Linked DNA regions of Lytechinus pictus. Each later gene encodes a partner of the first gene's protein in a complex. Links are inferred from orthologs where the notes say so. Each region holds a gene or a part of one and is shown in the gene's direction. Other genes may lie near its edges. The genes, in order: H/ACA ribonucleoprotein complex subunit 2-like protein and H/ACA ribonucleoprotein complex subunit DKC1-like.

Region 1 (16,169 bases):
GTCAATATTTCAGCAAAACCTATCATGACAATTCTGCCACAGGACTACAATTGATTTCCCAATACATACATGTGCAATTCATGGCTTGCTCCCAACACTATAACATAATTTGACTTTACGAAATAAAAAAAAATACAAGTGTTCACAAAATTTATACACAAACAATTTATGTACAGACTTTATGGAGAAAAGGAACTGTCACAATAGTATACAGCTTTTTTCATTTCAGATGGGTGTTTCATAAAGCTGTTCGTAAGATAAGAGCGACTTTAAGAACGACTGGTGATCCTTTCTTGTGGTAAACGGTATATTCATTGGCGATGGTTTAGCGCGTAAGAAAGGTTCACCAGTCGTTCTTAAAGTCGCTCTTAACTTACGAACAGCTTTATGAAACGGCCCCCAGATATACATATACCTGTAGTGTAGGAAAATACACTTCACAAGGTGTTACTGTGCTTCATATCTCCTTTTGCCAATTGAACAATGGAAACATAAATTAGATGCCCCTTCAATCATTATTAGACTATCGGTACATGTAGAATTGTAGATGGATTCTCGACTGTGTATATAGGCAAAATGTATTGCTTGTCCATTGCCAAATCTGAAAAAATATTGAATAATTCTTAAATTCTATTTGAAAAAAAAAAAAACTTTCCTAATATCTCATCAGATCATCATTTCCATGTATAAATAAACCAAGTTTAATTCTGAATTACATGGTATTTATTGGATCGGTAAGTAATTGTGACGAGCCATGAAAATGAAGTCTACGACCTTTGACCTTGTGACCTGCAAAAATCCATATCAGTTCACTGTTATTCACACATAAATTTGAATTTGATCCTTCACAAACAGTTCTTTACTTTTTGTAAGAACTATTTTCATGAAATAACCCCAATAAGCCCAAATACTTTTTTAATTCAGAACACATAATCTTTTTTGCAGATTAAACATTTATCCAATCTGATGAACAGACATGCCACAAACTGAACGTATGCCTTGAAACAACCAGTAGCCATGGCCTCCATGCCCTCTTCCTTTTCATCAAAGTTAATGCAACTAAAATGTGCCCCCTTTTTAGTATTTGTCCTTTTTCTCACAATTGTAAATACTTTAAAGGGGAAGTTCACCCTGAAGCAAAGTTTGTTGTAAAAACAGCAGAATAATGAAAGATATTGGTGAAGGTTTAAGGAAAATCCATTTAAGATTAAGAAAATCATTAGTATTTTATTAGTTTTGGATTTGTGACATCATAAACAAGCAGCTGCCCCATATCTTATGTAATATATAAAATACCTAAATTTTTAATTTTTTAAAGTTCGTGATGACTTATATTTTTATTTACTTTTTAGGAACGGGTGTGAAATTAATTGTACATGTACATGGAGAGCAAAAACCATTTTCAATATTCTGAGAAAATGATGTTTCATTGATTGTTACAATGTACCATATGATGTAGGAAAGTTGCTTGCATTTGACGTCACAAATCAAATAATTAAAATGCTGATAACTTTTTTACTCTTTGGTGGATTTTTCTAAAACTTTCAACAATATTTTTTTATTATTTCTTCTGCTATTTTTACAATAAACTTCTTTCAGGGTTACATACACCCCTCTAAATTTGCCCCTGATTGAAATGACTTTGCTCCTGAAAAAAATCCCATTTTGAGGGCTGCTGTACAGCCAAATGGCATTGAAAACAAAAACAAATTACATGTAATACATGTAGAGTATTTGTCTCATGCAAGTACATACATGTATGTATATATTGTCATCCAGTAGACCTCCTTCAAATCAAATTCAATGACCTCTTAACCGAAATCATGTATATTTTTTTTATTCTGAAACACGCTGTACTGCCTCTTGATACAAATTCATCACAAAAATAGAAAAATACACAATTACCAATCCATGATTTTATCTTTATAAATAAATGCAAATTATTTCTACCATAAAACCTTCCCATGTTTTTTACATGTATTTCAATAGTCTCCAACTTAAAACTTTTGTCATCTACTTTGGACATATTGACCTCATAAATAAAATCACTTGTAATGTATTCCTTACATGGTATTTTTTCATGTGCATGCTTTTACATAGACTGACATAAATACAATTTGACTAATGAATTGGCAAACCAAGTTATATTTTCAATTCTAGAAATCATGGCATTTCATATTCTTCTGTACGAGTCTCTTGAATGCGTCCATCAGGGAAAAATGTGATTTCTGTGATGCGTCTGAAGATGGCACCGCTTGGGAGCTGGTGCTCAAAGGATTCTGTTTGCCTGTGCGGCTTGCTGCTGCTTGAATTCTCTTCCACCCATCCCGACTTCATAACCTGATCCTGCAGAGGCGAAGATGACCCAGGATAAACAGCTCCCTGCATCCCGTCACTCACAACAACCAACTGCTGGGTATTGGCAACGTCTCCTTGGTTGAGGACCTGTCGAACGGACTTGTTTTCTATGTTAATGACAGGAGAGCTTAAGTTCACTGTGGTTAAGTTGGAGGTGCTCAAGCCTGCAGGGGTCAAGTTGGTCGCAGACAGGTTGGTTGCGGAAAAGCTGGTGGTGCCAACAGCGGTTGCCTTCTTTAATTTCTTTTCCTCGCGCTTTTTCAGGGCTGCTGCAACCGTGTTGCTTTTGGACTTTGGTGCTAATGGACTGACCAGAGGGACTGTTTGCTTGGCGGAACCCCTGTGCACCTGCCCATCGTGACGGTAGAGGTCATGGCGCCTATTGGTGCTGTAGGGACACTTGCTGCACTTGAATCGCTTGCCTTGATGTTGGTCCTGTATGTGCGAGTTCAGTGATTGACGAAGCTTATACCAGGCACCGCACACTTTACATATGAATCCTTGGCCACCATCAACGGAGGCCACACTGGACGACTTGCCATTGAAATCCATTAACTGTGGGCTTCCATCACCCTCCGCACCTGTAGGTGTGTACTGAACATATTTTCCATCTACAAACTTGTATTCTGTATCCCCTGACCCAGGAGTGCCTTCGTTCTGCGATGCTGCTTGGTCTATTCCCTCGACTGATGGGGTACTGGATGTTGACTCGCCCGTCGCTATGGCTTCACTTGTGGTTATAATTGGTGCCAGCCGGACAAAGGTTGGTGGTAGTTCATCGTCAATAGTTATTGAAGCTTCCATCTCACTCCCGTCTTCTCTGCAGAGCAAGAAAATGATGGTTGGAATTGGTCACTCACGTCTCTCATCGTTAATCATTCTCTCAGCTTTTAATCAAGGTTGAGCACTTTGTAACAGGCACATGTAATGATTACCTATTGTACTAGGAGTCTTGTTTATATTGGCCATAACCAGTCCTGACGAATGAGAACAAGAAGATCTCAGAAGTTGCGCTGACTCTTATTCAGTTCCTTTGACTCCATGGCTGACATAATGGCACTATACAATGAAGTAAGCCTACAGTATTCAAGATGATTTGTTGCTTTTCTGTGGATATACATGTATCTTTAATCAATGCTTACAGGTTTTGTACTACAGTATACACAGGAAAGGGATGTATGTAACAATAACAAAACCCAACTACATGTATTTTCATTCACTGACTTGGCAGAAACACACACAAAAAAAGTTTAGCATCAATTGAACAAATGTTTTGTGTGCTACATGTAAAATGGACATATGAATCAGCCAATGTACATGTACATGTAATCAAGTGCATTATCTGCCCCCACAACCAAATGCCAAGCTTGTGTTACTTACAGGCTTACAGCACCCTTAATGAAATTTTTAAAGATTAAAATTCAGAATGACAATTAAAATAAAATAAATGAAAATGAGAAACATTTGCAAATCTTACAATCTTGAATTTCATAGCTGTCATAACATCACAAAATATTTGGTGAGCAGGGGTGAGGAGGGGGGATTGAGGTCACAGAATCTATTTTTAGCACCCTTGATTCCCGTAATTACCGCTTATATCCCGCAGAAGGGAGTGAAAAAAAAATGTTCCCATTAAACAAGGACAATCTCCATCAAGAATTCAAGTCATGATTTGTCTTGGGAACTTTAAGAGGATATCCTTGTTCTCTGGGATGATCCTTATCAATTGATGGACCAATGCATCTACAGCCACAGGCATATGACAAGGACAGTTAAACTAAAGACTAGAAGGCCCGAATTCACAAAGGTGGTTTTGAAAACCCACGGTTGAGTCCATGGTTTATGCAGATTTCCTGTATAAATTACGCTTATTTTACCGCGTACATGTATATTAAAAAATGTCCAATGCTGATGCGCGCTTTTGTCAGTGCGCCAATTTGACGCCTGTTGTCGTGGTTATCCACGCTATTTTATTCATGAGTCCACTGTTTTGAATTAATGAGTCCACTCTTCAAACAGTGGACTCATGCATAAAATAGCATAAAATCTGCATAAACCATGGATTCAACCGTGGGTTTTCAAAACCACCTTTGTGAATTCGGGCCTATGAAATTATTCTTTTGGCTTTTATTGTGAAATAGTCACCACGCAATTCACTGCCGTTATTTCATTAGCGCTGGTTACATCTTTCCACTCCCATATCATGGCATGGCAGTGACTTTGTACAAAACCAGCGCAGACACACACACTGACCATGCTGACACAGGTATTCCCACGATGCCGAGGGTTCACGAGGACGAGCGTCCACAAGGCCGACTTTTCTCTAATCATATATTTTCGTTAATCAGAATGTTTGTCTTCATCAATATTAATCAACGAAGTCGCAACTTATATAGGCAAAAGTGTAAGTTCAAGACCCCAAGTTCAAGGCATGCTATGAAGACTTTTAAGTTAAAGTTTCATTAGTTTTTAATGACAAATTCAGATTGAAACATTCGGAGTGTATCAAAAAATTTACATTCTAATCTTTAAATTATAATCTAAGTCCAGAATTTGACAGTTCAAATTAGTTCAAATGTCATTTTCATAGATCTAGTAAGTTCCTGTTGTTCTTTGAAATTGGTATATTTGGTTTTGTCAATTTATGTTTGTCTTAACCTTGCTGTTTTGAAATGGGATAAAATCTACATTTCCAAGCAAAAAACATAACCGAGAAATAATAACAATAAGAAAATGTTTAAAATGAAAGTTTCAAATTTTTCTAAAGAATAAACAGCTGAAAAAAAGGATTCAACAGCTACATTTCTTAATGATGGGTGAGATGATACTCAAGCATTAATCCTGTTGTCCCGATTTACGAAAGCATCATATTATAACATTATATTCAGTTTTCAATGGCGAAAATGCTAAGCAGAAACTTTTCCACTGATAGAAAAAATCCTCATGAAAGAAAATACACTTGAAGAAAAATCGGCTTCATGGACCTTCGGTCTCATGGGAAAAGTAATCGGCCTCGTGGACCCTCGGACTCTTGGGCCTGCCCCGCTGACACTGTCTATTGTCTGTACTAAGGCTCTGTACATCGACAATGCGACACATGTGCACACACAGAAAGAGTCTAATTTGACGCCGTCATTTATAATTCTTTTTGGAGGAAGGGAGTTCATAACAGAAGGTATATAAAATGTTTTTACTTGTTAACAATTTTAAGATGTTCCTGATTGTCCATTAGTAATCTGAGATATTTATGACTTCAAAGTTCTATTCTGTTTTATTTTTCTTTCTGCGGTTGTCTGAATAATGCGTCATTTATATTTTATAATTTGTTTTGGAGGACGGGAGTTCATAACGAAAGGTATTTAAAATTTGTTTTTACTTGTTAACAATTTTAAAATGTTCCTGATCATCCGTAAGTAATCTGAGATATTTACAACTTCTATTCTATTTTATTTTCCTTTCCACTGCTGTCTACATACTGCATCATTTAGACCTATAATTCTTTTTGGAGAACTGGCTGACTAGAGTTCATAACGGCCACGGCAGGTTTATGAAAGTTATTCTAGCGGTTACTACCTAAAATCAATCGACGGTTTATTCAGGGCTCCACACTAACCCTATTATGCTACTGGCCCAACCTGATCATGTCGGACCAGTAGATAATCAGTTCTACCATTTTTTAATACTGGTCCGAACCTAAAATTTACTGGTCTCCAAAAATAAAGAAAAACATAAAAAAGGCTTTAGTTTATTTTGCCGTCTTTTATTGCTTATTGTTATCCCCCCCCCCCCCAAAAAAAAAACAGTACACAAACACATAATTCATGAGAGCCATTTCTCAATTTTGCAGAACATTTTTAGTGAGACACCAGAGCCATAATTTCTAAAAGAGAAGAAAATATAATTTGTATCAGTAGGGTATAATTTTTACTGATCATTTCGGACCAGTAAATCTTGCCATTTCTGAAAAGTTACTGGCCCCAGCAACAGCAATTTTTACCGGTCTGGCACCGTCGGACCAGTGCTAGTGTCGTGCGTGCGCTGGTTTATTGATATGTGACCATAATGACATTGGGACTTTTTGCCTTTGCGACTTTCTAGGAAAATGATTCTTCGGTCTTCTGCAGATACATTTCTTTTTCGGAAAACAAGACTCAGAGTTCTTTCCCTATTCGCTAGCACGTCAAAACACACTAAAACATGTCCCAACAAAAAATTTAAAATATCCCCAAAACTTTGAGATAATCGACATTAAATCAACAACTTGAAATTCTGATATTTTTTGCCGACATCAATTTTATTTATCATATCATGTTTATTGGCGGCGTGCATCGCCTATCATCATCCATTCTGATCACAATTCACAGCTCTAGTCTGACTTACACTACAGTACACTACACTGCAGGCATACAGCATTAATGCTTTCCATAAATTGGCTTAGCTGCATAGCCATAGTCATTCTAGGCGGCTAGGGCCTAACCTAGGCGGCTAGGGCCTAACGTTAGGCCCTAACGCCGCCCTATGGCTATGGCTATGCTATTGCTATGTCGCGTCGTGACGCGATTTACACATCCGACTTCTTTGCGGAACTTGGAGTTGCCCCGCGAATTGCGTCGTCGATCGCGTGTGACGTGTGTAGGCCACGGAAATTGAAGGCAGAACTTGCCATGCCACACACACATTTTTTTCGGGGGGGTGTCTATTTACCGCTAATTATTTAGGGAAAAAAAACATTATTAAAGTTACACCATACACGAACCTCGATCTATATGATCCTGGAGATGTTTCTGCATTTTCTCCTCCGTCATTCCCCATGCTTGAGTCGTCATTTTGCTGATTCTGAGCTGAAAAACCATCGCTCCCAGGCGCGTCTGTTTCTTTCTGTTCATCCGCCATGCTTGGTAATTAAGAGTTGCCAATTTGATTATTAATTTCGCTTTTATATCTAAGGGTTTTATACAAATAAGTATTTTTCTACTTATAAATATATTATTTTAAAGAAAGAAAATAGCTTCGGGGTGCAAAAGAATAGTTAATGCAATTCTTGAACGACGTTGCAAATTAATATGCGACCTTACAACACAGTAAATGTCACCGGAATCTCTGAAAGCGCCACGCCGCCTCCATCGGCGGCATAGCTTGTACGTATTTTTACGAATCGTATTGCTGTTACGTTGCGGTACAAAACACGTGGACCAATCAACATCATAAGCCTAAAAATGAAGTCACCAGCAGCAGTAAAGAATGGGATTGATCGCGCTGATGATGAAGCTGAAACACAAGAACTCACATATGATGAACTTGTTGCTCGTGTCTCACCCATAGCAAATCCTTTGGCTTCAAGGAAACTCACGAAAAAATTGTACAAAGTCATCAAAAAAGGTGAAATTGGAAATACAGTCCCATTCATTCGAATTTACGTTTGTGTTCATATTTATAAAATTATTTTATGTTTGTAATGTAGCCCACTTACATTGACGAGTGGATACCATGACCATGTGCAACCAAAAAAACACGTGAAAAGGATGTCTTTTTCAAGATAGGGTACGTTACGTAACGTAAACTAAATGGTAATATAAGGGTGTCAAAAACACTAAAATAACAGAAAAAGGGTAGGCCTATCTATTTTTGCTACCTACTAACTACTTCCAGTAGAGGCGCACGGCCAATATTGGAGACTGTCTCCAATGTGGGAGATTATCTCCAATATCAGAGACTTTTGTAAAGAATTTGGGTATCCAATTTCAGAGACAGTCTCCAGTTTTGGAGTCCAATTTCCTTTGTTTACATTTGCTGCAAAAGGATTACCTTGGCGGCAAATTAAAATGTGATAAGCAGATTCCTCATGAAAAATTACCCCTTTTCACCGTCTACTTTAAAAATTCACCGTCTACTTTTATTTTGATAAGGAATTTTGTTGTCAATCACACACAACACAAACAGACAAACGGGCTTCTGACCTCAGTGAGACAAAATTTTGGGTGGAAAAAATCATACTTTTGTTGGTGTTGTTTCTTTTGTCCTTTTGCAAAGCAAGTCTCCAATGTGGGAGATTGTCTCCCCTATTGGAGAGAGTCTCCCATATTGGCCGTGCGCCTCTACTGACTTCACTTTACGTATTTAGGGTCAAATTTGCGATGGTATAAAAATAAAGACTAAATTGTTTTATAAAATTAAAGGATGTACTTTTTGCCCAAAGAGTCAACACTACGTCACTTTACGTGTTTAGAGTACGATTTGCGCGAGGTGTGGGAGGTGAGGCTGTACTAATAAACCCAACGATTGTAGAAGGTAAAACCGACGTCAATGACATAATTAAAAATAAAATATTGCTGTACTTGTTTAGGGGTTACTTATTTACTTGGATGTTGAGACATAAAGCAATATGCTTATGTGCCCCTCGTTGAGTTTCTTATCTTTGGTACAGAAGGTCTGTACTTCAGAGGTTCAATTCAGAGAATACTTGCCAAGAGTATCGTTTTGTTTCCAATACTTAATGTTAAGGGTAGGGTTTCATCACACGCAATTACTTGTTATTGTTAAGGGGTGCATTTTCAGAATATGGAAAATCCGTGTTTACTTAGTTTAGGGTGCTTTTTCGAGACCCCATGGTCGCGCATGGTATCCACTCGTCAATGGAAGTGGCCCTCCTGGGGTTTGTAGATGGCGGTATGAGAGTTGGAATGAGATGAATGCGGTATGCCACTTGGAATGAGAAGAATAAAATTATCACTCTAAACCACATTGTCATTGAGTTAAAAATTTAATCGCCATACTTTTTACATCGAAACAAATACATTCAAAAGTATTGCAGAGACCAGGGGTGGTATTCTGAAAATTGTCTTAACCTTTCTTGTAATTCAGCAAGATAAAACAGCTTGCTAAAATTCTCTTAAATCGGTATTCTGAAAATTGTCTTATCTCTGACTCTGTAAGGACGTCCCCTATTTTATCTCTGACACGCCAAATATTTTATCAACCAATAATTAAACTTTTTATCAGTAGAGGCGCTGGTCAGAAAATTGGGATTTTCCCAGTTAATACTGTTTATACAGATCTGTTTCGGTCAACCAATAGAAGCGTCCTTCTTAAAAAATTGTTAAGTGCATTGTTGACACGCCGCGTAATTTCCTTTGCGCCACCGATGCTTATGCTTGTACACTACTGCGCTAAAATACATGTGGCTTTTCCCAGAGTCATATTTTCTTTGAAAAGGACCATCATCTCGAATGCCAATTTTCAATTGCTGAAGAGTCTAACAATCCGTAGTTATAACTTCTTTGGAATGTCTCCTTTTGTAAAACATGATGTTCTTGTGGGATGCAGCAAGAAATTATTATTGTTGACTGAGAAGTATCGCATTCAACATTAAGTTACAATAGCCCCGTACCTCTTGTAAATTTTCTTGTATTTTTGCAAGGAAGTCATCAGAACGCAAAGATAAGAGAATTTTCAGAATACCTTTTACATACGGTATATCTCAAAATGTTATCTTGCGCACAAAGATATTTAGGCGCCTCATTACGCATCATTATAGCTCTGACATACGCGCTCAGTGAAAGTTACAAGAAAAGATACAAGAATTTTCAGAATACGGATTTTATTATACTGTAACTCCAGAGATACAAGAATATTTCTCTTAAACAATTTTCGGAATACGGCCCCAGATTTTTCTTTGGTTTCATTTTAATATATTTATGGTTTTTCTTCCCAGCTAGTAAAGTCAAGATGGTCAGACGTGGGGTAAAAGAAGTTCAGAAGTTTCTACGCAAGGGAGAGAAAGGGTATGTATTTTTTTTATTGAATTGTCCTTGATTCAATTTACTGGTGAACAGAATGGCAAATATTAAAGTGCCAATCCTCATTTCTTGAGATTGGACCCATTTTCTTTTTGCGACAGTGGACATGGGATGGGGTTGTCTGCTTAAAAACATTGTTTGGTAATTCTTTAGGGAATGCATTTCGTCCCAAATGTGGTTGGTGTTTATCCGTCTTCCACAAGTAATTACTCGCAACTTGTCTCACAGGGGCCAGGCTGCAGTTTTACAAGCTTGCTTTTAAGATTACTTGCTTTCAGTTAGGTCCCATCATATTTCTTTGACTTAAATGAAGCTTTTCCCTTATAACTGGACTGATTGTATTATGTTATATGTATTCTGTTATTTGTAAACTTCTGTTTTCTATAATTTATGCATTATTGATGCTGCTTTTTTATGTGAATCAAATGTCAATTAGAATTATGATGGAATGAAGTATTAATAGATAACTTTTACCTCAACATGTATTAAAGTACTTTAAAAAGGAAACATATTGTACAGGTACTTCTATCAAAGTCAAGTATATTGGGACTGCATTGATCAGTTGAACTTTATAAATTTAGAATAAATAGACTTGGCCAAATCATTTTGAATTGAATTGAAAGTGGGATTAAAATTGACTTGAAAACAATCCCACCAATGTGGTGTAGAATATGCTAGTACTTAAAGGTTTTGAGCCTTTAATTCAAGGCAATTGTCCAACATATTTGATGATGTAAAGTTTCATGTTAACCTATTTTGGTTGGTGATATGGAAATATATTGAGAAGTCCATTTGAATCAATTACTATTTAGGATATATTTTCAAACTCAAGACCGGTGTGTTGGCTCAGTTGGCAGAGTGTCCGTCTCACAACCGGGAGGTCGGGGGTTCAAACCCTGGCCACGTCAGACCAAAATATATTAAAAGATGGGAGTTGCTGCTACCCTGATTGGCGTTCAACGAATAAAGGGATAGCGCCTCGTCGATCTCGCGTTGCACAGCGGCTGCCTGGCCCACGATCAATTGGGCAAAGCGAATTTTCGGAGTATTTCATGTCTATTTTGAACAAAATATGGATTTTCATATCCTCTTTCGTGTTGAAAATGAATAAATAATACACTACCCCCACCCCTTTCACCCTCTCTCCTAATGCTGTCTTCTGCTCTCTCTTTCTTGCCACCTTCTCTATCTCTCTCCCTCTCCATTTTCCCTGTACTCTACTTCCCTCCCTTTTTCTCTCAGTTTCGTGGTATTTGCTGGAGATGTAACACCCATTGAAGTTATGTGTCATTTGCCCGGTGTCTGCGAAGACCTGGATATGCCCTATGCCTATGTACCTTCAAAATCTGTAAGTATAGATCTGTTACTGTTTATATTACGAGAAAACAAGTTTAGAATATTGAATGAGCATAATAGTGAGTTCAAATTCTTTATGGACTCTAGAAGAAGTTTTGACATTGTTCTACCTTGTTGTGATATCCGTGTCACGATGAGTCCACATTTTGAGTGGACCCTAGAACATGGTTTACTTTACAGGGCAAAATTACACATAGTGTGGGATAGTTCATCAATGAGAATACTCCATTCTGTATGAAAGAAAACTTGCACATATGATTTTGATTAAGAAACTTCTTACACACACACACACACTTGCAATCAAATTCATGTGTAGAAATAAAAGGAATTTGCAATTGTGAATATCAGTTCTAACTTTACAATTGATTACATACAAGAGCTGACTCCATAATTTATCATGAAAAAAGCAGACCAGCTATTGATGAAAAATAATCAAGAATGCCGCTTTTCAGACTTAATCAACTTATTTTCAACCATAGAAAACACATTATTGTGTGTGTATGATCATTCGTGAGGATATTCAGACTTTTTTTTATGAATTCAAAGTGGCATCTCTGGAAAAATTTGATGTGCATTGGAAAAATTGATCACAAGTTTCTTTTCATGTCCAACTTTCACTTGTTGATTCTCACGGTCGATAAATTGTTTCATTCTTTAGGACTTGGGAGCTTCAAGCGGGGCAAAGAGGGCGACATGCTGCATCCTAGTGAAGAAGCATGCAGACTATGAAGACAGCTACAAGGAATGCCATAATCTAGTGAAGGCTCTACCCCCTCCAATCTGAGAAGAGAAGACATTCTGGTCATAATATAGGACTCGACAGATAGAACTATCAAGAAATCATGGACTCATTCCAAGCTGATCTCATTGAGATAAAATTTGTGGAATCATGATAGGATAACATTGAAGCAAAGTCTGATCATTTGAGAGAATTCATAAAAGTAGCAAAATGGAAAGGACTTATTTATATTTTCATGGTCATTAAGCTGGACTCCATCATTCATGTTCCATTCACGCCCCCGTCACATAAAAGTTACTACTTTGATAACTTTACCATCCGATGGTAACTACCATGGTAATAACGCTGATCAAGAGCCAATCAAAATCAAGGATTCAATGCAAGTTACAATTGGTTGGCAAAGTTACAATAATGGTAACTTTTCTGCAACGGTGCCCAGGTGTTAAAATGACTTAACAACTTACTCTGCCTAAATCATTTGCAACCACAGAAATCTGTTCGACATGGGAGAAATTTGACTTCGAAGAGGTATTATACACATGTATTGAATAATCTGGGTCCCGTCACACAAAGCTTAGCAATTAATCGTACGCTTGATTTTCACGATTGATTGTACATTATAGTCAATGGAATCAATCGTAGATAAATGTTGTACGATCATTGCTTATCGTGTGTTACGGGCCCCAGGTCTAAAAGTTACTTCAAATTGAGCAAATATTCATCTTATGGAAGGTCGACTTAGGGAGTTACCTGTCCTCGTATTTTGCAGAACAGCTGATGCTTTCATATGCCACAGTCACACAAACGAAACCGATCCCTAAATGACCAATGATATGTCATGGGAAATGATGTATATAAGCTTAGGTCGGTCCGGATTAGTTTCGCTGGTGTCACTGGGGCTTCAGAGTAAATTTTTTTGTTGTAAGTCTGTGGTGCCTTCAACATGTTGACTACTGAAACCAGTTCGTCTGTGTAGATTGTCTATGGGCATAAAAGAATTTAGTAGTCAACAGGTTCACAATTCTGAACCACATTAAAAAGCGTCTTTACGCAGGAAATCCAAGATCCTACTCAGCGTCGTCTTTATTACTTCTTCCATTCTCCATAGACAAAACAATGGGACAAGGAAAGCCATAGTGAAATTATTGTACTGTATATGATCACTTAACCATTTTCTGGTCTTGAATTTTACTTTATAGGGTGTATTATGTATATGGAAACACCTTTTGTATGACATTTACTTCTTATCAATATTTTTGTTCTAATAAAAGATGTAACATATGTACATGTAAATAAAAGCCTGACTGGTCTCTGTTTTTTTATTTTTATCTATTGTAAAGAAATTACAGCAGAATCAGTAGTATTACTTGTATTTATATTTTTTATTTGAATTATGTCAGTAGAGGGGTATATAAACTGTTCTTCATAATTCCGAAAATTCAAATCTATCCATCAATAATAATTGTAATACACATGGATGAGAATCCCTTCGGCATTTAGCGTTGATTATTTTCCATCAAGCAGGTTTTAACCATTTTGTTGATTAATAAAGAGCTCTGTTGGGTGTGAAGTATTATTTTCAGGTGAGATGTACAATATACTTGGATTTGGTTGAGGCATTATGATTTTTAGAACCTGTAAGTGTCTGTGTCGCTGCTTATTTTGATATGCAATATCAAAATGGCAAGAAAAGGTGAGCTAGTCCAGGGGCCTGATTCATAAAGGACTAGCAACTGTTGTAACTTTGCCATTATGACAACGACCATGGTAACATGGCTCAGCAGCCAATCAAAATCAAGGTTACCATGGTAGTTGCCATAGTGGCAAAGATACAACAGTTGAACTCTTTATGAAACGGGGTCCCTGGTCATCAACCTGCCATATTTTATGGTATGTATTTATAAAGCCATGCATAAATTACATATAGCGCAATGGAGTGCCCTCTATGACTGAAAACAAGTGAAGGTTCAAGAAAAGCAAATTTCCATGTTAAAATGAAATACAGTGACAAATATTTTGGGTACCAGTAAACTCCCTTTGTAAAGGAATGGCAAGCTTTATTCAGCACCATTGCATGTATTGAAGCACACAAATGTGCCAAAAATAGCTGTATTAAAGGACAAGTCCACACCAACAAAAAGTTGATTTGAATAAAAAGAGAAAAATCGAACAAGAATAACACTGACAATTTTATCAAAATCGGATGTAAAATAAGAAAGTTATGACATTTTTATTTTTCTCTTAATTTCACAAAACAGTTATATTCACATCCTGGTCGGTATGCAAATGAGGGAACCGATGACATCACTATCTCTTTTGTATTTTATTATTTGAAATATTCCAATTTCTCCCTGTTATACTGTGGAAAAAAGTTTAATTCCTCCCTGAACATGTCGAATTACCATTGTTTTAACATTTTATGGTTTAGTCAAGTTGGTCCTTATTGTCAGATCTGTAAAAATTGAAATATTATATAATTCAAACAATAAAAAGAAGATAAGTGAGTGAGGGACATCATTTGCATGTCACTGAGTTGTGCATATAATTGTTTTGTGAAAAATAAGCGAAACTTTAAATTGTCGTAACTTTCTTATTTTACATCTGATTTTTTTCAAATTTTCTGCGTTATGCTTGTTTGATTTTTATCTTTTGATTACAATACCCTAAATTCTGTGACATAATTCAATGGAATAATAAGAATGAAGTATAAAAGAAAGGGAAAGAGATGGATTTCAAGTGAGAAAGAGTAACAAAGGGAGGTAGAATCTGGGAAAGAGAGTGATCGGCAGTTACGAAGGAGGGGACCTGGATAACATACACAAAATAGAGAAAGTGAGGAATAGATTAAGAGACGAGGAATTTGCGAGTAAATGAGGGATAAAAAAGGAGAAATAATCAGTGAAGGAAACTGTTATAATTCTATTTTTCAATAGTAGTAGCAAAATAAATGAAAAATACAGAACAATGAAGTCAATGAAATAAATCAAAATTGAAAAAAAAAGTTTAAAATTACAAAATCCTTTTAAAAATTATTTTCAAAGTACAGGTGTATCTACATTGTTTCGGAAATGCAAATAAGTGAGTCGATGCCCACAGGAGGAAGTCCCTTTTCCTTCATATACATAACATTACAAATGTTTTGGTTTTTTTCTAAAAAGTTGAGCTTGACAAGAACACTTCAGCTTGGCATATAAAACGTCCGACATGTCCTATCATGAAACGCTCTCCTGGACCATTCAAAGATTGCACGAAAGGTGTAAATTTATTACCAGAAGACGTCTCTCGTTCAGTCTGCTCTCATAAGTGGTTGGCAAACTGCAAGTGTTACAGTCCTGTTTAGAGTCCATACATTGTTTGGGCTTGGTCACCTAACACCCGGATCCATGGTATGAAATTCATCAAGGGCTTTTACTATATCCTCCAATGTCCATTTCTCTTCTGGCAATGCATGCTGGTCTAGCTGAAAGCAACCTTGGTTCGTCCGACACAACCCCGTCATGAATGCACAGGTTCCGAGACCTGAAGAAAAAGAAAATGTTGGATTCTCGATTTATGGTTAACATTCCACCTCGCCTTGTACTACCGTTATTCTACTACTTTAAAAAAAAAAAAGGCCCATGTCTTGGAGGCAATTGATACAACAGGGGCAACATGGACAAAAACATAAGAAATAACCATTTCATTGTGCTTTTTCATTGTCCAGAATCCCCCCCCCCCTCTCCCCTCCTTTCAGAGTAATTCAGTGGCCCCTGCAAAACTATGTGCAGTTTCTATGTATAGTTTCTTTCCTTATTATTATTCTTTCATAAAAGTAGAGAATTAGGACTCTATGGTTCAATGAAACTTAAAATTCAACTTCATCCTTTTTGGGGGCGTTTTCTTCTTTCAAATATAACACAGTATGACATAAATAAACAGAT
Region 2 (17,160 bases), on another chromosome or scaffold:
AATATACAACACATATTTCAGCTCGGAAATTGAACTCTCATTATTTTGTTTGATTTACAAATTGATTTTTAAAAAGGGCTCTGTAAAAATGTCTGTTTTATCTGAATATTAACATTTTCTGCTTGCGCTGCGCTCGCAAAATTTTATTTGTCAGTTACCTATGATTTTTTCTGTATTCCATAAAGTTATCAAAATATCCCTATTCAGCTCAGTCAGATTGTCAAAACGTATCAGCTCGCGCTGCACGCTCATTTTGATTGGTTATATAGTTATGTATATCTCAATATTAATTCTAAAACAAACTACTTAAAATCCCCGTTTATCATAAATTTCGGCTACCGATTTCCACTCGCATTGATTATTGAAAGATATTAACTAATGCATCTTATTCATAATTACAAAAGTGCTTTAAATTAATGTCCAGTTTTCAGGCCATACTATTAACAGATTTTGTGCTCTGTAAAAATGCTAGTCCCGGTCCGGTCCCATGTCAAAACTCAAAGTAAAAATAATGAAACATATCAGCTCTTTTTAAACTGTGATCCATATCCACGGTACCTCACAATTTCCCTACAAAGTGCTTGAAATACAGAGTTTAAATTGACCCTTTTTCAGATCGGAATATCATATATTTTTAGCTCGCGCTTTGCGCTCACTTTATTGATTTTCATAATAAGAAAGGTATTTAGAATACCCAAATTCTAGGTCAAAATCTGAAACACGCGTTTCACGTTTCTTCAGAAACGCAGCTAGTTCTCTATTTAAATCATTATCCAGTTTCAGATCACAGTATCAAAAATTGTCTGCATGCTCGCGCTTTGCGCTCGCATTATTAATGTAGGAAACTTTCCAATTAGGCCTACTCATCCTTTTCATGATTTACAAAACATGAATAGAGTGTCCAGAATTTTTCCGCTCGCGCTTTGCGCTCGCATCAATTGTTTAGTTATATACTTATCCTTTTCACGATTACAAAAAGTGCTTAGAATTTCAATTTTTCAGGTAGATATGTCAAAATTTTCAGATCGCTCTAAAAATATGTAACATCTTCATGGCTATAAAGCAGCCGTTAACAGATCCTTTTTTTGATCAGATCAAAACGTATATTAAAAAAAAAAAAAAAAAATTATGTTCGCGCTTTGCGCTCGCATTATTAATATAGGAAGATTTCCAATTACTCATCCTTTTCATGATTTACAAAATATGAATCGAGTGTCCCATTTTTAGGTTTAATCTAGATTTTTTCAGCTCGTGCTTTGTGCTCGCATCAATTATTTAGTTATATACTTATCGTTTTTCATTCTTCAGGTAAAAATGTCAAAATTTTCAGCTCGCGCTTCACGCTCGCATTATTTGATAGTTGAAATATGTAACGTCTTCGTGGCTAAGAAGCTGCCGTTAACAGATCCTTTTTTTATCAGATCAAAACGCATATATTAAAAATTTCTGCTCGCGCTTCGCGCTCGCACTTTTTAAATAAGGCTTATGATATTATATGAATGTATATACATATATAAAGCTTAGAAGTGACCATTAGGACTACTCGTCAAAGAAACAAACAAAAATTAACTTCGAGCGGCAGATCGGGGAAAATGTGGCTGAAAAAAAATTCCGCCCCCCTATTGGCGAAGGCTGGATCCGCCCCTGACATATGTATATATTCCATAGAGATATATATCTCTATGATATATTCAGAAAACTGATATGAAATCTGTGGCGTACAGATGGGGGGCTTGGGGCGCTTGCCCCCAATTTTCCACGACCAAGAAAAAAGGAAGAGAAAAGGAAAGAGACCGGGGAAAGAGAGAAGGGTGAAACTAATGGCTTAATAGATTAGGCCCTACATGTATAGGTCGACATGTAGGCCTATTTTGACAATATATATATATATCACAATGAAAATCGGCTATTTGGGAAACAATGTCTAAATTTTTGCTAGCTTGCTTCGCTTGCTCGCAATTTGTTATAATTTTATCTGATACATCATATCGATCTGGCCACTCAAATATTTATACTTACGCTACTGTTATTATTTTGTGCCGTATTTCACAAACAGGCTTTCTGAAGTCCTGAATAATATCGGTGGATCAATGTTATTGAAAATATAGAGCGTACAGGTATGTGGAAACTGAAACTTTTACCCAATGTAGGGATACAGGTAAAGTTAATTGCCCTATAAACAGAAACACCTTACCACCATGTCACAAAAGGTTATAGGTAATGATTTTATATTTTTATCATCCTTGGGTATGAACGAATATGCAACATTTAAGAGGGACATTTTGGGCTTAAAATTCACTAAGATCATACATATTTCAATGATGCGAGCGCGAAGCGCGAGCTGAAAATTTTTGATAATAGAACAGAAAAAGGGACATTTTAAGGACTGTTTTCAGTTAGGAATTCATGAAGAGCAGAATATCTCACCAATCCACTAATGCGAACGTAAGCCTAGACTGTGCATGTTTTTTTATGTGTATATAGACCTTAAAAGGGGGAATCACTTCAAGTATAGTCATGATATGTCACTATTATACACATGGGCGGAAATCCCAGGGGGGACAGGGGGGACGTGTCCCCCCTACCAAAAATAGTAGGGGGGACACAATATCAAATGTCCCCCCTACTATTTTTGGTCTTTTATGATGGAAAAAAATGCATCATTCACATTCGAAATAATACATGTCTTTTGAACTAAATGACCTTACATTTTGGGTGAAAACTTTTTTTTTGCTTGTCAAATTTTCCAGAGTGAATAAAATAAGATGAGGGGAAGACTTGGAAAATAAAAAGAATCTTTCATGTCACTATATAAAATTTTCGGTCGCGCTTCGCGCTCGCATTGCCTGTTAGGTGATTGTTCAACATGGATCTTAAATATCAAGTTTGGAAGTCAATATACATTACACATTTCACCTCGGAAATCGAACTTTCATTATTTTGTGTGATTAACAAACTGATTTTTAAAAGGTGCTCTGTTAAAATGATAGCTTTATGGTCTGAATATTGAAATTTTCTGCTCGTGCTGAGCGCTCGCAAATTTCGATTTATTAAGTACCTATTATTTTGCGCTCGCATTAATGGTAAAATTTTTTTTTTAACTGATGCATTCTATTCAGAATTACAAAAGTGCTTGAAATGTCCAGTTTTCAGGCCATAATATCATCAGATTCCCCCCCCCCTCATTAGGCATTAATAAATAAGATATTAATTTAATGATTAAATTGTCCCTTTTGTTTCATCTCGCGCTTAGCAAGAGGGATAGTAAGATAGTCATCATTTTCATATGACATGTCCTAAGGATGTCCCAGTCCTATGTCAAATCTCAAATAATAATGAAAAATATCAGCTCTTTATTAAGTACGATCCATATCCACCTCACGATTTTCCTACAAAGTGCTTGAAATAAATAGCTGAAATTAACTTTTTTTTTCAGATTGGAATATCATATATTTTAAGCTCGCGCTTCGCGCTCGCTCTGATTTTTCATAATAAAAGATGTGTAGAATGCCTAGATTCTAGGTCTGAATATGAAACACGCCCGCGCATGTTTATTCAGATACTCAACTTGTTCTATATTTAAATCGTTATCCAGTTTCAGATCACAATATCAAAAACTCTGCTCGCGCTTTGTGCTCGCATTATTAATGTAGGAAGATCCCCTATTACTCATTCTTTTCATGATTTACAAAACATGAATAGAGTGTGTCGTTTTTAGGTCTAAATCTCGATTTTTTTTTCCGCTCGCGCTTCGCGCTCGCATCAATTGTTTAATTATATGCCTATCTGTTTGAATTACAAAAAGTGCTTAGAATTTTCATTCCTTAGGTAAAAATGTCAAAAAATTTCAACTCGCGCTTCGCACTCGCATTATTTAATTGTTGAAATATGTAACGTCTTCATGGCTAACTACAAGCAGTCTGTAACAGGTACCTTATCCATCAGTTCATTTCTGCTAGCGCTTCACGTTCGTAGTAATTATTCATTTACATACACATCTTTTTCAGGATAGCAAACATTGCCCAGAATGTTCAAAATTTTAGGAAAAAATACATAAAACCCCCCCCCCCCTAAACAAAACCAAAAAAAAATTTGCTCGCGCTTCGCGCTCGCATTATATAAATATTGATTATGATATTATATATTTATGTTGATTTATAAGAATAAAGCTAAAAAGTGACCACGAAGACTACCCCTTTAATGAAACAAACAAAAATCATCATCGAGCGGCCAATCGGGGATTAAAATATGGCTGAACCCCCCCCCCTATTGGCGAAGGCTGGATCCGCCCCTGTGGTCCCCCCTACCTTTCGGGACAGATTTCCGCCCATGATTATACATAAAACAATAATAACTGTAAGTGCCGGGAAATATTTGGTGTATATTAATTGACTTGAAAACGAAATGTTTTAGTAGAACAGGACTATGTATCTCATTAAACAGATAATGCGAGCACCAGGAAGGCCAGGCTCTAATAATTATGTTTCATAAAGGATGAAAAAAAAGTAATATAATATATATAAATAAATATAATATAATACAATATGATATGATATGATAATGATATAATATAATACAATATAATATGATATACTATAATATAATATAATATAATAGAATAGAATAGAATAGAATAGAATAGAATAGAATAGAATATAATATAATATAATATAATATAATATAATATAATATAATATAATATAATATAATATAATATAATATAATATAATATAATATAATATAATATAATATAATATAATATAATACAATACAATACAATACAATACAATAATATACTATATTATATTTTGGATCAAAAATTTATCCTCTGGTCATTGGCTCAAAGAGCTTCACGTGATTATGTGTATTTTCAACTATTTTGGAATGTTGGCAGCTAGGCATACTATTTGGGAAAATTACGTCATTTTTGTGACGTAATTTCCCCAAATAGTAAAACTATTTGGGGAAATGACGTCACGGCGCCATACGCCTGATGCGCGTGATATCAAAATCACCAACATTCAGCGGGGTATACGAGAGCTCGAGTGCTTACCATGGGCGACTCTCGCGACGTGGCGACTACGTTTTTTAATGTTTAGACTACAGTTTATGCTTTGACTTTTTCAGACATTTTCATTGACTATTAAAACTTGGATTTCATTAAAATTTGATATTATTTAAGAAAAGAGCACAAGACCATCAGAGTGACAAGAGAGGATAAAAGGTAAGCCATTATTCTGTTTTTTCCTTTTGTTTAAAATTTTTAATCCAAAATATAAAACAAATATACTCTGCCATAATTTCGAGTTTCTGGTTAAAACTATGGGCCTCGGTGCCTCCAATAGTACCATTCACTTCGGGGCTGCGCCCCTCAGTGAATAGTACTATTCTGGAGTCACCTCTTGCCCATAGTTTTAACCAGAAACTCTCAAGGCAAAGTATATTTGTATACTATACTATACTATACTATACTATACTATACTATACTATAATATAATATAATATAATATAATATAATATAATATAATATAATATAATATAATATAATATAATATAATATAATATAATATAATATAATATAATATAATATAATATAATATAATATAATATAGTATAATATACAATAATTTCTTCTCCCCCACTACGTTTCTCTTTCTTTCTCCCTCCTTTTCTCCTTTTTTGGCCAGCTTGGGGGGGGGGGGGGTGCACGTGCCCCCGCGTAGTTACTCCACTGCGTAACGGTATGCATGCCGTGAGGAGTTGTGGGGGGAAGGGGGTAAAAAAGGTGTATTATCACTTGGTCTAATGCCAAATCGTCCATAAATATACCAACTCGTCTACTAGCTATCATTTGGTCTACCATCAGTTCGTCCACTATCTGCATTGGTCTAATTGCCATTTTGTTCACTCACCATTTCGTCTAATAACCAATTGGTCCAATCAGTAGTGGACCGTGACCCGGAGGAGACTAAGCATTGGAGGGGCACTGTATTGTTTGTGAACAATGTTGTGCCCCTCCAATGCTTTGTCTCCTCCGGGTCACGGTCCGCCACTGGGTCCAATAGCCAAAATAATAGTCCATATACCATTTTGTCTAATTGGAATATATAACGATGTTAATTGCACGAAATGAAAGAAAATTAAATGGATTTTAGACCAAATGGTTAAACGAAATGGTCAGACGATCTAGTGATGATTGGACCAAATGTTTTTTGGACCGAATGGTTGTTATAGGAGAAATGTTGATGGACAGAATGGCATTAGAGTAGACTAAATGAAGTTAGACCATGTGATGAGTGGACGATTGTGTTGCAATAGACGAATTGGCAATTTATATACCGTAAAAAGGTTGAGTGATAATACATTACACAAATCATAGAAGATTATGAATATAGATTTAGAGAAATAAGGTAATAATTTTCACGAGGAATTAAAGTATATCATTCATAAAAGAATCTGCTATCAAATTACCCCCCAAAAAAAAACAAGGAAAAGAAAAGGAAATAAAATAAAATAGAAACTACCATGTATTCTTTCATCACCGATATTTCTAGCCCGCAGCTTCAATTCGATGATCACGCCCTCTCCGTTGAAGTGCACTAGAGGGTAAACATGGATGGGAGTGCAGGTGAATATTCAATTAAAAATGCCTTAAATTGTTATTCATTGTATGATATACGAATTACTATAGTTGTTTGATGTGATTCAACATTATCATGAATTGTGTATGAGTTCTGTTGTTGAAGTATGTTGTATAAATTGTTGCGAGTGGGTTTTGGTGATCAACGTGGACGTGAAAAACGGTCGACCACGCGCACGTGGCTTCGTGAGTACCCGCTGCGCTGCATGGCTCAATTTGGATGGGCCAGCGGAGCGGGCGGGGACTGCATAAACTGGTGGACTGTTTGGTATAATGCTGTTGATTAACAATTGCGGGCACAATTGCATGGTGATACAATACTGAACATGCTGAAAGCACATTAATTTTCTGAATTTCTTGCCAGCCCCACACCTCCATTTAACTATTTTAAGTTAATTTTGTCATTTTTTTGCCAATTTAGGTTTCTTTTTACCAATTAAAAAATAGTCACTAGCACTTTTTAGCAGTAGAGCACAACGAACAATTGTCCATAGACTGTGTACAACGGATAGATCGTCTCCGCACAGCGATTCGAAGACCGCTGATTGGTCAATCGCGCAGACCACGTCATGACCACTTGGTCCCAAAAATAATTCCTTCGGACTGTGTGCCGAAGTATCGATAGCGATAACGATATCCGGTCACGTTGTGTACACGGAAAATGGACTTGGTCCGTGATCGGATCACTCCGGTATCGATCGAAAATTATCGAAACTCTGCAATTTCATGCATATTCACGCGACGCTCCGAAACCCGGAAGCCAATTGACTTTGAGTACGTTGCGATAGACTCTACAAATTCCAATGAACACAATGACATACAGACGCTAATTCGTAAGATTTTGACGGAAAAGCAAGAAGTAATCGAAATTCACTTACCTGTGTGGTATGGGTGAGAAAATAGATCCTCCGAAAATACCTTTCATAATTCATATAAAATATAGGAAAGTGAAATTCTAGGCCGATTTTGCTAGGAGGTGATAGAGAATTGCACACTTGTTTTGGTGGAATACTGTGTGGGGAAATGGAAGGCTTGCACTGCGCATGCTTACTATATTTTCATTCATAAATTGGCTCTCGGCAGTGGCTGGATGACGTCATGTAATAAGCAAAAATGTACACGACCGCTACGTTCACGCTCCGCTATCCGTTGTACACAATTGTTCGCTGTGTAGAGGTGCACGGCCAATATTATTTGGAGACTGTCTCCAATGTGGGAGATTATCTCCAATATCAGAGACTTTTGTAAAGAATTTGGGTATCCAATTTCCAGATTTCAGAGACAGTCTCCAGTTTTGGAGTCCAATTTCCTTTGTTTACATTTGCTGCAAAAGGATTAACTTGGCGGCAAATAAAAATGTGATAGGCCTAAGCAGATTCCTCATAAAAAATTACCCCTTTTCACCGTCTACTTTGAAAATTCACCGTCTACTTTTGTTTTGATAAGGATTTTTGTTGTCAATCACACACAAAACAAATGGGCTTCTGACCTCAGTGAGACAAAATTTTGGGTTGAAAAAATCATGCTTTTGTTGGTGTTGTTTCTTTTGTCCTTTTGCAAAGCAAGTCTCCAATGTGGGAGATTGTCTCCCCTATTGGAGAGAGTCTCCCATATTGGCCGTGCGCCTCTACTGACTAGTAATTAGTAAGATTTGTCCAAGTTTGTGCTGAATGATGAGCCCAAAATGGTCCATGTTTTGTCCCCTTTTTCAACACAAATTTGACAGTTCGTGATTATATTTTGTTAAAAGTTTGGATGTGAAAGAGTATATTCTGGTCAGTGGAATCATGTTCATGTATGTTTTACAAACCTGTAATCTCTGTTTGAAATATTACTGAGAAAAACTGAAAATGTTTGGAATAAGAAATGCTTATATTTTAATGAAAAGTTCATGATTTTTCACATTCATTTTCAATAGAAAAAATCACTGAAATTTTGCTTGTTTAAAAAAACCGACAGTTTATCCTGATTTTGAAAGAAACACATCGAAATATTTCCCATTGACTCTGTGTGGCACAAACAGCCAAGCTCCGCACAGCTCACGGCAGCGATTCGGAGACCGCTGATTAGTTCATCGCGCAGATCACTTCATGGTCACGTGGCCAAAAAAATAATTTGGCCGAAAAAATATTCAAAGTATCGATAGTGATAAATAATGATATCCAGCCTCGTTTTCCGCACTTGCAATTGTCTTGGCTCGTGATCCGATCGCTGAAGTATCGTTTGAAAATCATCAAGATTTGACAATTTCTTTCTTGTGCGATTGTAAATTGAAGCCTAATGTTTGCATTAATTTCAATTGCTAACATGGCTAACTGCAGTTCATATTGTAATTGGAGAAAACAAAGTCCATTCGAGACGCGGGAGTTTGATGAAGTATAAAACTTAAAGCAGGAATATTTTGAGCTGTTTTTGATCTTCGGGCATTGGTATAGGCCTTATTCTACAGAAATATATTGGGAAAGCTAATGCCATGCAACATCTTCATTTGAGAAGGGTTAGTGCTTCTGCTAATAAAAATGGGAAAGGTTGAATGTTAGAGAAAGTCTCTCATGAACTAAGTACGCACTGGTTTCGTGTCAACATAAATCATGAGGTGAACTATCCACCAAATTTGTGCTGTGATTGTTTGTGTATTGTTTAAACAGATTTTGTAAAAATTTTCTTTTTCTCTTTAATAAGGATCAAGCAAGAAGAGTAAAAAGAGCAAGGAGTCCAAATCACTTGGGGTAAGACATTTTTATTACGCTACCTGTTTTCCCCAACCCTTCCTTTCTCTAAAAATCCCACAAGAATTTGACAACTTCTGATCATTGTAACAAATATGATTCAGACTTTTTTTTTATAATTGAGTGAAATACAATTTAGACTTTGACTGTTGCATCAATTACATTTACCTATTAAATTAAAAATGAAACTAAATTCATCAATACTGAATGTACCTTGGGTAAAGTGAGTGGATGATGAAACATCTATTATGAAGAGAAAGTGATAAATTTAAACTCAAATTTCATGGAGTTGAAAATGGTAATTAATATTGTTTGATGAGAAGAAATTTTGACATTGTGGTATGTAGGGTGCACCTCCAAGATTATTATCATTATTAAAATTTTTTTTTTTTATAATACATGCAGTCAAACTGGCACTCTGCTCTTGAATTTATATAATTTGATTTAATTGATAATTTTTACTTTTTTGAATATACTCTGTACTTGAATTTATATAATTTGATTTAATTGATAATTTTTTACTTTTTGTCTCACCTGCATAGCAGAGTGAGACTATAGGCGCCGCTTTTCTGACGGCGACGGCGGCGGCGGCGTCAACACCAAATCTTAACCTGAGGTTAAGTTTTTGAAATGACAGCATAACTTAGAAAGTATACGGACCTAGTTCATGAAACTTGGCCATAAGGTTAATCAAGTATTACTGAACATCCTGCCTGAGTTTCATGTCACATGACCAAGGTCAAAGGTCATTTAGGGTCAATGAACTTAGACCATGTTGGGGGAATCAACATCAAAATCTTAACCTAAGGTTAAGTTTTTGAAATGTCATCATAACTTAGAAAATATATGGACCTAGTTCATGAAACTTATACATAAGGTTAATCAAGTATCACTGAACATCCTGCATGAGTTTCACGTCACATGACCAAGGTCAAAGGTCATTTAGGGTCAATGAACTTTGGCCGAATTGGGGGTATCTGTTGAATTACCATCATAACTTTGAAAGTTTATGGATCTGATTCATGAAACTTGGACATAATAGTAATCAAGTATTACTGAACATCCTGTGCAAGTTTCAGGTCACATGATCAAGGTCAAAGGTCATTTAGGGTCAATGAACTTTGGCCAAATTGGGGTATTTGTTGAATTACAGCCATAAATTTGAAAGTGTGTTGGTCTAGTTCATAAAACTTGGACATAAGAGTAATCAAGTATCACTGAACATCCTGTGCGAGTTTCAGGTCACATGATCAAGGTCAAAGGTCATGTAAGGTCAAAGAACTTTGGCCACGTTGGGGGTATTTGTTGAATTGCCATCATATCTCTATAAGTGTATTGGTCTAGTTCATAAAACGTGGAAATAAGAGTAACCAAGTATCACTGAACATCTTGTGCGAGTTATAGTAGTTTTCAAAATCAGCACTGCTGCTATATTGAATCGCGTGATGCAGGTGAGACGGCCAGAGGCATTCCACTTGTTTGAATATACGATTACTATTGTTGATGGTTTAAAAAAGGTTGAAGTCACTAGTCATGTCAATATGGAAAATATTGTTCCAAACTCAGTAGTCCAGAGTAAAAAACTGTGAAGTTTACTCAGTAAGCCAGAGTCACTAACTGTGAAGTTTACTTTTTTCCCAGGTAGTTACACCTGTATGTAGAATTGAAGTTGTCACAAAACTTTGAATCATTTTAAATTACTTAGCATCTGAAGATGAATTGTTCATCAATCTTATGTCAATAAATTCATCTCTCTTATTATAGGATATTCAGCATGAAGCAGATTTCCTGATCAAACCGGAATCGGCCGTAGCCAAACTCGAGACGGCCCACTGGCCCTTGCTTCTAAAGAACTATGATAAATTAAACATCAGAACGGGGCATTATACACCATTACCCAATGGTTGCTCACCCCTCAAAAGGGAAATCAAGGATTATGTCTCGTGAGTATGCTATCTTGGACTTTTTTAAGGAATGACTTGCTAACGAGTTTTTAAGATCTTCCTACAGTAACCTATCATTGAAAAAGGTTGGTTTGCGCTTCAGAAAATGTCTCTAGCTCCATGGATGATTGTGTACATCGTACAGCTTTTGGTATCACTCATTCACTTTGTCCTGAAAAGGATTATGGGTATGAGAGTGAGAGAAGCAACTTTGGGGTAAAAGTTGGGTAGAAGTTGAGCAAAGAAAAGAGTTATTCTTAAATATTTTTACACAACATTACTCATCAAATTGGCAAAGAAGAGTTATGTGGTAAAAACACTAATTCAGGTTGTTTGAATGGGGAAAAAAAAGCAAACAACAAGCAAAAGAGAAAACCTGACTTCTTTTCTGGATGGGTCGTGATCAGGTCTTGCATAGTCCAAGGTTACAGAGGCTATTACTATGGGTGTCCTTTCCTGCCCTAAAAATCTCTCCTTCACTGTTCTAATGAAGGTAATTTCACAGGCAAAAAAAATCACTTACTTATTTTCGGGGGTTACTTTTCACAATGAATTGCCCAATTCTCCAATGTTGGATAAGCTTAACATTGCAGCAAATGTGGAATTTGGGGGTCTTTTGCTATTGTCCAGGGCTATTTTTTAGTATTGAGCCCCCTGGATGATTGTGATATTTGACTTATCTATTCACATTTTTCCACTTATACTGACTGAAAGGTAATCATATTTTCATGAATTATTGAATTTCATTTAAAATTTTCAGGAGTGGTTTTATCAACCTTGACAAGCCCGCCAATCCTTCATCTCATGAGGTCGTGTCGTGGATCAAGAAGATTCTCCGTGTCGAGAAGACGGGTCACAGTGGGACCCTTGACCCCAAGGTCACCGGTTGCCTCATTGTCTGTATAGAACGAGCCACACGATTGGTCAAATCACAGCAGAGTGCAGGTAGGATTAATTATCATTTTCGTCCCAACTGTCTAAATTTATCAGAAACGTCTTATCTTTGGTGAAAGGAAAAAAGATATATCAATTTGATTATTTTGTATTCTCTTGTATACATGTAAATATGTGGGATGATCTTGAATTGTATGTAGAAAATCAGAAATGTTGCTTTTTCTCTATTTTAGTTCTTTTTTTCAGCTTTCAGGATTTACACATTACTTTTATAATGAAGATTAACATCCATAGAAAGTAAAAGGTTTATGCAACCCTAAATTGTCTAATGGTGAAACATTAGAAATTCTGAAAAAAATGTGATGTACTTATTGTATTCTGTATTAAAAGATGTAATGTTAATGTCATATTTTGGTTTGTTTTCTTTTTCTGGGCACTGTCTTACAAGAGTTGTGATTGATCTGATCAATCTTAACTGGAAAATCATTGATTTCATGATTCTTCATATCGATGAGGCATTTGAACTATAGATCCTTTGTAAACAAGAGAAGCAATGTTGGTTGGACCAGTGTGCAATCTGTACTGCAAAAATCAGGTCAGGATGCACATGCATTAAATTCGATAGTGCTTCTGAATTTCCCTATTTGTGATTGGTCATGTCAATCAAAGCATCTTGTAAGACAAGGTCCCCTGATCAGAGCTGCCAAGTAGTACGATTTTTCCGTATTTAGTACGTTTTTGCAACCAAAATACGGCAGTACGTTCTTTCTTTAAAAAATACGTTTTTTGTATTTAATTTTTGTATTTAATTTTTTTTTTTTTACAAAATCGAAATTTATTGAGAAAAATCATCTCTATATGTCTCTATTTCATAAAACGTACACAAATATGGTTATTAGATCAATGTGATTTCAGGTAACTTGTTTTTTTTTTTCAATCATTTTGTAAAAACCAGGGTGAGATATACACAAGTTTCAATGTTTTTTTTTTTTTCATCTGCAAGAGCAGTGCACATTTTAGCTTGCATGCAGCTTTAGCGCCGTGATGGGCTAGTGCGCCAAGCATTTTATTATGAAATACACTTTTTTGGGGAAAAATACAAAATATTTATCTCACACGGTAAAAATACTGATTTTTTTGTCAAAATACTGATTTTGGGGGATAAGAATACTGAAAATGCAAAATACAACTTGGCAGCTCTGCCTGATCATTAAGCACCTGTATTGACATGATATGCCTTGTCTCTCTGTCCATAGGCAAGGAATATGTCTGCATTGTCAGGTTACATGAAGCTATTGAAAACCAGTCAAAACTAGCCAAGGTGAGATATATCGGTTGTTATTCTCATACAATTTTGATTAAGGTCAATCCTAGGTGAACTTTATCCTTTTATGGAATGCTTGTTGCCGCTTACTCAAGTTATTGAATTGAACTAAATATTTTTGTAATCTTGCATGGAAAAACTATCTAAGATATGAAAAAAGGAATAAAAAGGTTGGGAAATTTAAGTTTGAAACAAATTTAAATTAATTATTTGGTAGATATATTTTTGGCAATAATATTGTTTGAAAGATGAATTCTGGCTTTTGATGGAAGTGTGGACTTAAGTTCTAGTTGAGTATGGAGCTAGTCTTATTTATGGGGATACAATCCATTGAATGTGTCATTATTCAAAAGTACCAAGATTTTGCACAGCAGAGATACAAGCATTTTGTTAGCCTCTTTTGTTTCGTATCAAATATTTTAATTCTCATTATGAAACTTCTTTATACATTTCAATTGAACTGTAGATTGAGAATGTGTGTGTGTTATTATCACAATATGCTTTGTTCAAATTGATAATTTAATCTTTGAATTTTATTTCTGTAAAGGCTATTGAGACACTGACAGGAGCACTGTTCCAGAGACCGCCTTTAATATCGGCCGTCAAACGACAACTTAGAGTGAGAACGATATACGAGAGCAAACTCCTTGAATACGACCCACAAAGACATTTAGGTAGGTGGAAAGCTTAAACAATCCCCGAGAGTGATATGCTCTTCAGTTTCACCTCCAATACTAGAGCATTTCATTGAAAAATATAGTGATTTCAATTGACTATTATTTTTAATAGCTACTACAAATCCTTGCATCTGATACGCAAAGAGTATATTAGTCAGGAAAAATCCTCTGGTGATGGTGAATTTCTGAAACATAATATTACAAGGTCTGAGGGGATGTTGCGAGAAACATATTTGTGATCAAGTGTGGATGTCAATTGAAAATTCCCGATAGATCAGTTACAACCAAACCAGATAACTTTTTATTTAAGGAGCAGAATGGCAATTAATTGCACGTTTTAAATAAATTGTATGACTTGTGATTGATTTTTGTACCTAAAATTCACTCAGATTTGTCAGATTTTGCGATGTCCTTTTTGACGTAGGAAAATACATGCAATAAGCATCTTTGTGAACAAAGTGAAAAAAAAAAATTGCTGGAGTTATCAATGATGAAAAGGAGCACCGAGTGTAGCGGTTCTGACTCTCGCCTTGTAATTAGAGGGTCGTGTGTCGAATCCCACCATGGCCTATTGTCCTTTGGCAATGTGTCAATCCACACTTTGCCACTCTCACCCAAGTGCTAATTGGGTACCGGTAGGAAACAACCGTCATTGTGGTTGGTTTAGCAAATGTGCGCCCTAACAGGCTGCTTGAAATGCTATGAATCCAGTGACCAGATAATAATAATTGTGAAGTGCCTTGAGCAGTCGTAGATTGATAAGCGCATACAAATGCCAATTATTATTATATAAAATCTTACCATAGTATGAATGCTTACTCTACTTTTCCATCGTTTGGCTTATGACAGGTATTTTCTGGGTGAGCTGTGAAGCTGGAACTTACATCAGGACACTATGCGTTCATCTTGGACTCCTGTTAGGGGTCGGAGGTCAAATGGCAGAACTCAGGAGAGTGCGATCCGGTATTCAGTCAGAAAAGGTTAGTGGGCTATTTTTATTTCCAATGTTACTATAGGGAGCTCTAAATTTGAAACACAACTCCTGGGGCATGCTTATTGAGCAATAAGTGTAGCTATTCACATGCATTAGACAACTGCTCTCATTCTTCATTTTTCATGACTGTTTTTTTGTCAAATTCATGTCCTTGCATATCTATGGCACATTCCCAAGAGGTGAACATCGTAAGCGATAGATTAGGTCATCGTAACACTTGGGAGTACACTGTTTGCAACTTCTGAGATCATTTTATAGTGCTCCGCTCGTTTGAACTGCATCCTCATTAAGTTTGAATTCAAGTCTGCAAATCTGTCATTTTGGACTTTCAATCTTCATATTATTTTGTCCATTCTTATTTACTTTGAGAACTGCTCAAGTCATAGTAATTTGATAGTAATACATACAACCTTTCATATAAACAAGAATATAATGTATAAACAGAGAGAGATTACTTCAGGACGTTTCCACATATAGACGGTCGGACCTACATAATTGATAGCATTGCGGTATCGCCCAAGTTGCACTTTATGAAAGCGGAATATCATCATCTCTTGTCTTGTCAATGTTTTTGTATCCTCAGGAAGGGTTGGTGACGATGCACGATGTCATGGATGCCCAGTGGGTTCACGACAACCATAAAGATGAAGGTTACCTCAGGAGAGTCATCAAGCCGATGGAAGCCTTGCTTACGGGTCACAAGAGAATAGTACTCAAAGACAGCTCAGTAAGTTGGTCATAATAATAATAATATACCATGCTTTGAGAAAGTATAGAGGAAATTATTCATCCTCGGATTGTCTGGCAATTTCTATTTTTCCAGCCCATCAGAGGATTAATAATTCCCAATATACTTTTGAAAACAATGCCTGGTTTATTTGTTGTATCCACAGTTTACTTAGACTTATAGAGGAATAAACTTACACTGGGGCTCGGGGCATTCTCACCCTCTAAATCCAGTCGAGGTGGATCCTTCCCCAAATGACCAACCTGGACACAAATTTAGATCCAGCGCTGTACTTGCCAATCTAAATGCACTTATTTGCCTACTGTTATGTTCAACCGCTGCACTCAAATTTATAAGTGTTTGCGCTGTCACATCATAAATGTCACCTGGTAAAGAAAGAGAATATTTGAAAATTGTAGATGGCAAATTTTCTTTTATTTACTTAGATGAGTATGTATTTTCATGGGGCAATTTTAAATATAAAGGGGTATTAAAGCATCCCTCTCATGCACGCCTGGCTCCACCACTGATAGGTCATAAGTTTTTATTGCTTCAGTTAGGCTATAAACTTGCCTTCGGTGAAAGCACCATGTCCTTTCAATCTTTTCTGGTCTCTATATGGAGGCATCAAATCTCTTCAAATAAGTCTCAGCCGCTCAGAGGCAATTCGCAATTTACTGGTATATTGTGATAGTGATTATTATACTTTGTTTTCACTGCCCATTTCTCTCCTCAGGTGAATTCTGTCTGCTACGGTGCCAAGGTCATGCTTCCCGGCGTCCTCCGCTTCGAGGACGGCATCGAGATCAACTCGGAGGTGGTGCTGATGACCACCAAGGGAGAGGCCATTGCTCTTGGCATCGCATTGATGACCACAGCGACCATGGCAACAGTTGACCATGGCCTGGTGGTCAAGCTGAAGAGGGTCATCATGGAGAGGGACGTGTACCCCAGAAAGTGGGGCCTCGGGCCAAAGGTATGTTCTGGCATGTTAATGTTGGCCGTATTTGATGCTGTCTCGCTATTTGTCATGTGATGGTCATATTCAAGCATTGCATTTCTTTTCACAATGGTTCTTTGATGATTCTGTTGGAGGAATTTGCAGAATTTTTGCATAAAATTTGTGTGAAGCAACTAACGATATCCTCATTGGTAACTGATTTGTATTTTTGTACTTCTTACTTGGGCAATGATGAATTTTATTCCAATCATTCGCAGTTTCCACCATAAGG

Evidence for each region.
Region 2: H/ACA ribonucleoprotein complex subunit 2-like protein (region 1) and H/ACA ribonucleoprotein complex subunit DKC1-like share a complex: the UniProt entries of both Drosophila melanogaster proteins name them as parts of the box H/ACA small nucleolar ribonucleoprotein (H/ACA snoRNP) complex. The link is inferred for Lytechinus pictus from reciprocal best matches to the Drosophila melanogaster genes NHP2 and Nop60B.

What each region holds. Positions count from the first base shown.
Region 1 is NC_087256.1:25,664,026-25,680,194, reverse strand, and holds H/ACA ribonucleoprotein complex subunit 2-like protein, read left to right. Parts: upstream 1-7,440; 5' UTR 7,441-7,574; coding exon 7,575-7,737; intron 7,738-10,069; coding exon 10,070-10,139; intron 10,140-11,396; coding exon 11,397-11,502; intron 11,503-12,168; coding exon 12,169-12,294; 3' UTR 12,295-14,761; downstream 14,762-16,169. Other genes in the region: uncharacterized protein LOC129272326, read right to left, coding at 2,164-3,178, 7,115-7,251; pseudouridylate synthase TRUB1-like, read right to left, coding at 15,614-15,768. UniProt on the Drosophila melanogaster protein: Component of the box H/ACA small nucleolar ribonucleoprotein (H/ACA snoRNP) complex, which catalyzes pseudouridylation of rRNA. This involves the isomerization of uridine such that the ribose is subsequently attached to C5, instead of the normal N1.
Region 2 is NC_087260.1:13,286,137-13,303,296, reverse strand, and holds the start of H/ACA ribonucleoprotein complex subunit DKC1-like, read left to right. Parts: upstream 1-5,016; 5' UTR 5,017-5,224; intron 5,225-6,554; 5' UTR 6,555-6,612; coding exon 6,613-6,628; intron 6,629-9,322; coding exon 9,323-9,369; intron 9,370-11,133; coding exon 11,134-11,312; intron 11,313-12,072; coding exon 12,073-12,257; intron 12,258-13,462; coding exon 13,463-13,527; intron 13,528-14,077; coding exon 14,078-14,204; intron 14,205-15,056; coding exon 15,057-15,187; intron 15,188-15,784; coding exon 15,785-15,928; intron 15,929-16,664; coding exon 16,665-16,904; intron 16,905-17,112; exon of another isoform or gene 17,113-17,160. UniProt on the Drosophila melanogaster protein: Catalytic subunit of the box H/ACA small nucleolar ribonucleoprotein (H/ACA snoRNP) complex, which catalyzes pseudouridylation of rRNA. This involves the isomerization of uridine such that the ribose is subsequently attached to C5, instead of the normal N1.